2 linked regions of the Schizosaccharomyces pombe genome follow. Changing the gene in region 1 together with any one later gene gives a genetic interaction. Each region holds a gene or a part of one and is shown on either strand. Other genes may lie near its edges.

Region 1 (4,517 bases):
GATCATTTTATCTTCACCGATAATGATCTCCTCAATTTTCTTACAGTGACCTAATTTGACAAGTTCAGGATGGTCAAAAGTTGAAGCAATTTCACCACCAGTGACCAAAGACAGCCGCTCAATTCCATCGAAGTCTGCATGTTCAATGGACATAATACCAGCGTCAGCGAACAGCTGCTCTGGCCAATTGTAAATGAGTTGACGGTTAATGAAGCAATTAATATTATGACTTTTGATTTTTTCAACTTTAGCCTTCATTTTCTCGCGCTCAGCGCGTTCAAGTTCGGCAAGCTTGCCAGTTGTGTCTACACGAACCCTAGCACCAAAAACTTTCACTTTATCCGTATCCATAGCCGTATTAGCAATTAAAATGTTAGCATTTTCCATAACTTTGGGACAGTTAACACCAATAGTTTTATTGAGAATAAATCCCTCATCAAGGAAGGAGTCATCAAGTTTACCACCAAGGATCTTAATAATTTGAATGTTATCCAAGTTCGTGCTACCTTTCAAGCGAAGCACTGCATCAACAGCCAGCTGAGCAAAATGGTTTTTATTCTGAGATAAGATTTTGGAAGACAGAGTAGTTCTGGCAATATTCTCGAGGTCACTACGAAATTTAGCAGGATCACTAGAATTATCAATAGAGGAAGCACGAAGAGCATCGATAGCAGTTTTAGTAGCAATACGATAACCATCGATAATCACTTGAGGATGTATTTTTGCATTGACCATAATTTCTGCTTGACGAAGAAGTTCAGCAGCGAAGACACACACACTGGTAGTACCGTCGCCAACTTCATCATCTTGGACTTTTGAGATATTCACTAAAACTTTAGCAGCTGCATTATCCAAAGCTATAGACTTAAGAATGGTAGCACCGTCATTTGTCACAACAATATCACCCGAAGAGTTTGATTGTAAAATTTTGTCCTATAAATCGTTAATTAAAAATTTTTTCTATGTAGATTTGACCTTACCATTCCCTTAGGACCTAAAGTGCTTTTTACCAAATCGCCCACAGCAATTGCACCCACAAACGATGAAAGACGGGCATTTTCACCCCGCTCTTGGATGCCACTTTCGTTAAAAATCTGATGAGGATTTAAAGACTATATCGTTAGTACGGTTTTTACACATGATATTACCATTTCCAGATAGTGTACGATAAACCCAGAGTTGCGGTGGTTGAGTGGAAAGTAGCTTACAGCGAACAAGAAGCTCGTCGCAACAACGTAAGCCGTAGCTTACCAGGCATGTACCAGCGACTGTATATTTCTAGTTTTGGATCGTAAATAATATTATAATCAAATATTTTTATAATATATATATTTCATTCTCTTACGTTCATATTCATGCAAAAGAAAATAATGAGACAGCTTTTAAGCATTGCTATATAAAACACTATTCTATTACTCTCAAATATAAAATATCAAAAAATTAAAAGATTTCCTATATCTATTCAAGTCTCTATGAAGTTAATACCGACTACTGAGCATGTTCAACAAACTAGATGATGGTTGGCTTAATCGAGTGTTTTATTATTGCTCAAAATGAAATATGAAGCGTCGATTAAAGATTTCAACTGATTTTTTATTTTCGATTCCCTGTATGACTTGTGTTTTCTTACAAGTACTAGACTAATGTTTTTGTTTTGGAGCAATATAGATATTGAAAGAACCAATGCGCAAATCTCAATTCTATTCAATATTAGATGGAACCATCTCGAAAAGTTAGCCAACAAGTTTCTAGATCTTTAAATGTGAATACCATCCTTAGACCTTGAGAAGTCAAGGATAAGCAGCATTTTAGTTGAAACGATAGATCAGTGATCACTCCTAAATAACTCAATATAAACAGTTTGTAGTAATACATCTAGCGCTATATTCTAAGCGCTTTTTAACATTAATTTCTTAACCAAAGAGTATTCTTAGTTTAGAGCGCGTACATTTCATAGAACGTGTAATTATTAGTTTTATTTTAAATTCAGTACTGTTCTCTGTATACAATTGACTTCCATGTAAACGTATCTTGAATGCCATTTAGTTGTAATATGAAATTCTTTGCCGAAGACTCAGCCATTCCAATCTTCCCTTTTGAATTACCTATACAACTAGGTACGAAATCATCTTCGGCACAATATCTTTATGATTGCACCGCAAAGTTGAGTTTCAACATTTATTTAAAGAATCAATAATTATTTTTTATTCAATAAAAAGCAAAATATTTAAAACGCCTTCTTTTCCCTTAATTTTAACCGTAAATGAGTGAATGAAGCGAGGTTAGCATTATTACAACAGCTACAGTCCTCCTTATTCAATCCATCCCACTAATGAAAACAGCCAGTTGATGGAACCAACATCTGAGCATTCATCAATCAAGGAGGAAGTGGAAAATGATAACGTTCATAGATCTCATGAGTCGGAATGTGGATCACTGCTGTTAAACCCTGGTAATGTTCTAATGGCAGCGCCTTCGGTGTCAGAGGATGATCAAGAAGTAAGCAGGTCTACACCAGAATTGCGAAGCCACGTGGAAAACGTTGAACAATTACTTTCTGATATATTGCATGATAATTCCTCTCCGCTTAATGTAAGCACTTCAGTATCGAGCAGTAGTAACAATACGGCTGTTGATGAAATTATAAAACTACTTTCGTTGATATCTTTTGATTTGGCAAAACAAAAGCGCACATATTTGATATTCTCTTCATCAGGGAAGCCCGTGTTTAGTAACATTGTTGATGATTCAATTGAGCCATCAACCGTTGGCGCGTTACAAGCAATTATTAGCTCTTTCGAAGTGTCGAAAGAAGAGCTAACAAGCTTTTCTACCTTTTCCAATGTTATCGTTGTTCTCTCCAAAAATCCTCTTTATCTTGTTGGCGTATCGCCATCGACAACTTTAAGCGCAGCATATTTACTCAGTGAGTTAAACCTCTTATATTGCCAAATACTTACTGGGGTTACTGCGAAAGCTATGCAGCTGACCTTAAACTCCCGCCCAAATTTTGATTTGAGAAGACTTATTGGAAGCAACGAGCAGTTCCTAAAAGAACTATGTGATCAACTTAATGATTATGAATTAGTCCCCACATTGAATGCCATATCTCCTCTTCCTTTACGTTCCTCTTTTCGTGATCAGCTGTCGCAACTGCTGTTGAGAGAAACACCCAAATCTCTGCTGTTTACTTTTATAGCTATACGAGGTCGGCTTGTTTGTATGGTTAAGGCGAAGAAGCTTTTATTACATGCTAATGATCTCTATTTACTTTTCCTATCACTCTTCCGCACACAGTCTTTTAATGATTCAATGGAGCATTGGGTGCCTGTTTGTTTTCCTACTCTAAATCCAGATGCTTATATTTACATTTATAGCTATTTCCTATGTAAGGACACTGTCTTGATAATGGGGAGCAGCGAAAGTGGTGTCTTTTTTGAAATGCAATCAGTGAAATGCAAAGTTGCTCAGGAAATTCAGGATCATGGATGGTTGAAAAAGCTCATTTATTGTGAAGAAATGGATAGAACTACGCCAAGGAATCCCGGATCTCCTTGTATTTCACATTACTTGTTTTATTCAAAGAAATACTCACAGTTTTATACTCCTGGCTATTCATTTTCAACTCCCAATTTCAATACTAGGTACGTATACAATGATCTATTTTTCTTTACAATTTCAATACGATCGCTATCTTTGGGCTCATTTGCTTTGCTAACTATGTTTTTAGAACTCTTTATGCTATTTATGCTAGCTTACACGACCAGGCATTTCACAAAAAAAATTCTTTCTCAATTAATATGACTGTCCATGAATCTTTGCTTCTATTCACGTGGTCAACTGCATCGTTCGACTTTCATTGTATTGCTAACGCTACCACTAGCAGTCAACTGCTTATTGCAAATGTTAATAAGATTTTGAGATGGATACGAAGGGAGGAGAATCGATTATTTATACAAACAAACCTTTCGTTTTGATAATGAGCATGTAAAGTTTAATGAAATTCATTTCTTTTTATTTTTTATGATGTTTTGACAGTAAAATATTTAAAAGAGCGGTGATTGCTTCCAACAGCTTTATTAATTTTTCTTTTTCCTTTTTTTGTTTTAATTTATTAATATCAGCATCATTTTACTCACATAAATTTCCGACTGTATGAACTTAATATCATAGCGAGTCAACCGCGCCATTACCTAAATCACCACCAACCCTATTTAAGTACTAAACAATCGAAATGTTTGGTGGTTTAAAGAACTTTATTAAAGAAAAATCAGAAGCTTTAGCTGGTATTCATCGAGAATCAGATGAATCATGTGGTTTCAGAGTATTAAAGGTTGAAAACGATTCGAAAGCCTATAATGCCAGAATTGAGTCTTATTACGATTTTATAACGGCAGTGAATGGGATCTTACTGGTATGAACTGATTATAGTTTTATCATTACTAAAGTGTTTTTCACAGAATGGAGACCCTTCAATGTTTATGGCTTTGCTTCGTGATTCTTCCCCCGAAGTAACT
Region 2 (4,765 bases), on another chromosome or scaffold:
CCTGGAATATAACCAACTCACAAGACGATAATGCGAAGAGCAAACTTGGTTCTCCATTAGAGAAAACCAATTGTCTCACTGGTTGTGAGAATTTCCATATTGGATCCTCAGCAAACTCAAAAGCCGATACATTCAAGTAAAATGGGAATTCTTCAAAAGTTGCAGTATTTTGTAATGTCGGAGATGCACGAAAAATCCATGGAGACGAGAGGCATAAAAAGAGGAGATTTTCCGCAGTTTCATTGCTAATCTTGCTACAAGCAAGACATTCAGTTGTGGTGTATCTGTTTTTATCTGATGGCGCTGTTTTACCCAAGCAAAAAGTATTTAAAATATGTGGATTATATATAGACTCAGCAGAAGAAGCTAATTGAGACTCTTTCGCTAGTGTAGAAAATAAATTTCGCGGAACATATCTGCAAACACTTAAACCAAATGAACTACTAGTCGCTTTACGCGTGGAATTGGTGGCCTCAGCAGGAAGCTCAGTTAATTTAGGGAGTTTGTAGTTTGGATTTAAAGATAAGATATCCCATCTTTTGTCCAAGTCAACAAGCTCGACGCCCGTATAGGAGTCATACCTAGCAAAAGTCCATTCATTATTTTCAACCTTCTCCGCTCTGTGATAGCCAGATGGATTTAAAAGTTGACACGCCCCTATAATTCCATAATCCAAACTTACACTAGGTTTTTTACTAATTGCATCAATAGGCCATGTTGACATGAAGATAATTAGAAAAATAAAATTAGATTGAATTGTGTTTACAAAAACACATCTAACGACAATACAAGAGCAACCTAGCGACAAAGCAAGTAATCAGTGTTTCAAGGAAGCAATGCTGGAGTAATTTCACCTATAGTTAAGAACTTGACTTTATTGTTATACTATAATATATTTAAAGTGCTATCTTTAAACCATTATATAATTATATAAAATATAACTCCTACCGACTACATGCTTTCAATTGAACAATTTATTGATTTATGTTAACTGAGAATTTCTCTTTACTAGAAAAAGATGAAGTTTAAAAGTAATACTTAAATTAGTCATAAGACAGTGTTCAAGTAGGAGAGGAGTTCTTCTCCGAAGTCTCTAAGCTGCTATCAATTACATGTAGATTAACACAGCAACAAAACAATCTCCTTTACAATGAAATGCAAACGCTTACGATTTTGGAATGATTTAGCAATAGATAAATTGGTTTACGAATGTTGCATTAGCCCAGTTTTCCCTTTTCATAAAAAATACGTAAGGAGGTGCTGATACCTGAGGAAGAGTGCAATATTCAGATTAGCAAGTGTTTTGAATTCTCTTTAGTGTCCGCTTAACCAATTTTATCGATATGTTTATAATTTTGTAAAGTCAATAAGTTAGTTCAGCCTGTTATTTGTAAGTAATTTATTGTATGCAACGTCTAAAGGAGCTTGATACATTTTAACGTACCATTAAATATATTTAGACTTAAAAGCATCTTTCAAGTAATGTCAAGAAACCTAAAAAGACCGCTCGGCGACTTACATTCTAGCAAAACGTTGATTAAAAGAATGGCAATTAAGCTAGCTTCTACAAATATTTAGACTTTTAATAAAATGAAAATTAATTTTTCTTGCACAGAAACCCATACAAGTAAAGTTTATTAGTTAAAAAAAATGAAAGCTTCTGCAATGAACTTTCATTTTACGAACTTAATAAATATTTACACCGTATTGTTTACATTTAAATTTGTTACTTTAAGGTAGTTTTGATATATCTTCTTAAGCATTACGTCTTATGAAAATGTTATTATTTGGGTTGTAGTTCATCATTATATATATTGTGCATCGTACCACCGTGTGATTCTGGCTTTGTTTTCCCACATATTTTAGGTCTAACTAACACATATTTAATTAATTACTCTTTTTTACTAAAAGGACTCTGCTTGGTCGTTGTATACTTTGTATGCATCGCTTCTTTTGGTGAATTTTTTAATTCTTTGCAATCGCAGCAGAGAGAAAATAATTGTAATGAATTCGATTGCTAGGCTATCAGATGAAATTAATAAAGCAATCCTTGCCACTCCTTTAGACGACGATGAAGCTGACAAAGAAAAACTTGCTAATGCTCGGGGGCGAGCTTCATCAGCTACTTTGAGGCATTATAATCGTCGTAGATCGTCTTATTCGGCGTCCAGCCTTAGCAGTTTGTCATCAAAACCGACGGAAAAGGAAGTTCCTACAAGGAATGAAAAACCGAAGCATGCCAACATTATGCGTGTTGTCGTCTACTGGATTCGTGTGTTCCTGAAACGAATTTATACGTTTTTCGTTCATTCCGCTCGTGTATTTTTGTACCACTTTTTGAATGAAGAGAAAGAGTTTACCCTTGCAAGTTTTTTTTGGGGTCTATGCCGGTTTGTCTTTTTTCCTGTATTATTATCGTATAAACGCCGAGAGATGCTTCCCCCTCAGCCAAGTGTCCGCCGTCCTAGGTTTTATTCTTCTTATTCTTACCCATCCTCTCACCAGGATCCTGCCTATTCATCTTTCAAACGACATAGATCTTCTAATTCTTATAGCAGTTCTTCTAATGGAAATCATGTTCGTTTTCAGCCCTCTATTGCAGAAGAAGAAATTTCTTTCAATTCTTTTTCAAATTCATTGAATTCAGAAGAAGATGTGTGTGTTTCTCCTATGAAACCCAAAGAGGTCTCCCTAATGGGAAAAGCAAATTCCAATCGTTCAGGACATTCGCATCAACCTCAATCAACTCAGTTTTCCCCGCCTGCTAATGACAATATTTCTAAGCTGCCTTCCTCCTTTACGATAGTTAATGATCCTCTTAAATCTCCTTCTTCTTCCCGTCTCCGTATTAGAAACATTACTCTGTGTGCGGACAAAATACCGAGGCCTTTGTTGAATAGCAAGTTACCGAGAAAGACCCTTGTATTAGATTTGGATGAAACACTTATCCATTCCGTGTCTCGTGGTAGTCGAACGACTTCTGGACAGCCAATTGAAGTACATGTGCCTGGTGAACATCCAATCCTTTACTATATTCACAAAAGGCCTCATCTTGACTACTTTTTATCAAATGTGAGTCAATGGTTTCGCCTTATTTTGTTCACAGCATCTGTCCAGCCATATGCTGATCCAATAATTGATTATTTGGAGCGTGATAAAAAAATATTTGCTAAACGATACTACCGTCAACACTGTGCACTTGTCGATAGTTCTTTCGTTAAAGATATTTCCATTTGTAATATTCATCTTTCACGGATCATGATAATTGATAATTCTCCAGCCAGTTACAATGCTCATAAAGAAAATGCCATACCTATTGAAGGTTGGATTAGCGACCCCTCTGACGTTGATTTACTAAACTTACTTTCTTTTCTTCATGCACTGCAATATGTTCATGATGTGCGAGATCTTTTGGGGCTTCGTCTCGCAAAATAAGTGCTTTTCATGATTCCTTTTTTTTTTCGTGAGTAATTTACTCGTTATTTATCACCAGTAACGATGGTCTAAAATAACTTTTTCTACTGCATTAACATCTTGGGTGCCTTTCCTTTCTCATCATCAAACTTCTTTGTTATAACCTCAAAAGGGTACCTTTTGGATATTTCCTAGACCGCATTTGGGCCATTCCAGTTAAATAATTTTTGTTTCTTTTTGCTGATAATATGTCAATTAATGTAAGCCTAATCGTAAGAAATTCTTTCTAATAAACTAAACGCATGTTTTAAGAAAGATTAGTTTCTGCACTGATGTTCGCAGCAATTACGAAGGCAACTTACTTATGAAATTTCTTTCTAAATCAAGCTTTTAATAAACATGTTTATTCTATTTAAGTGTTGATTCTTTTTTTTTTACTTTTCAATCTGTTATTACAATCAACTTACTTAATCAGGATGGGCAAAGGATTATAAATGATTTAATGATTATAAACCAGATTACATAGACTTTTAGCATTTTAAAATCATATCACTAGGCTAACGACATTGTTCTAGCAAATAACATAACCCAAAACCACATTATTATTATATGTATCTAATAACACGAAAATTCAAAAAACCTAATATATGCAGAATTAATAGTTGAATCAATACCAACCACCACTTCTATTGAAGTTTAATACTTTTAACTAAACCAGCTTTAATACCAGTCTGCTCACCAGCATAGCCGCCCTGTGGTGCGCCCTTGTAAATAGCCTTTTTGCTGGCTAATTTCTTCTTAGCTTTTTCGTAGCGCATACGCTTTTTAAGTCGAGGATTTCTATTTTCTTTAGGTCGACGGGGAGTTAATCCTCTATTTTTAGCAATGTCTAAAGTAATTCCACGCTTATCACCTTCACCTAATTCAATTAGTTCTGGGTGCCTTGAAGCTCTTATTAAATCACGTTCGAGATCGTGATTTTCTTTACGGAGCTTTTTAGCCATCTTTGATTTTTTATCGAGAGACTCGTAATAATCCAAATCATCTTGATCTTCAACTTCACGATCGACATTTGCAGGTATGCCCATTGATTCCGGATCTTCATCATCAAGATCAGCACCAGCATCCTGATTTCGACCCCTGGCTGCAGCTTCTCTCATCAATCGCTGCTGGCGTTCAAATCTTCGTTCTTTGTATGGCATGTCCAAATCACCTGATAACTCCAGTACCGCTCTGGAACGCTTAGCTGCCTTTTGGTCAATTTGATTAGCATAAAACTTTAAAGAGCGTTTCCTAGCAATCTTGTCTTCAGCATCAACATCGTCCAATCTGTTGCCTTCACCATAGTCAT

The links.
Region 2: of aut12 (region 1) and nem1, changing one enhances a phenotype caused by changing the other (phenotypic enhancement), as found in Schizosaccharomyces pombe (one study listed by BioGRID).

The regions. Positions count from the first base shown.
Region 1 is NC_003424.3:641,345-645,861, reverse strand, and holds aut12 (autophagy associated protein Aut12), read left to right. Parts: upstream 1-2,323; 5' UTR 2,324-2,349; coding exon 2,350-3,644; intron 3,645-3,730; coding exon 3,731-3,977; 3' UTR 3,978-4,017; downstream 4,018-4,517. Other genes in the region: chaperonin-containing T-complex beta subunit Cct2, read right to left, coding at 1-933, 981-1,112, 1,149-1,151; grh1 (GRASP family protein), read left to right, coding at 4,235-4,414, 4,461-4,517.
Region 2 is NC_003423.3:3,371,461-3,376,225, forward strand, and holds nem1 (Nem1-Spo7 phosphatase complex catalytic subunit Nem1), read left to right. Parts: upstream 1-1,841; 5' UTR 1,842-2,004; coding exon 2,005-3,435; 3' UTR 3,436-4,092; downstream 4,093-4,765. Other genes in the region: RNA polymerase I transcription factor subunit Rrn6, read right to left, coding at 1-724; U3 snoRNP-associated protein Utp3, read right to left, coding at 4,101-4,765. UniProt on the Schizosaccharomyces pombe protein: Catalytic component of the nem1-spo7 complex which acts as a phosphatase and may be required for proper nuclear membrane morphology.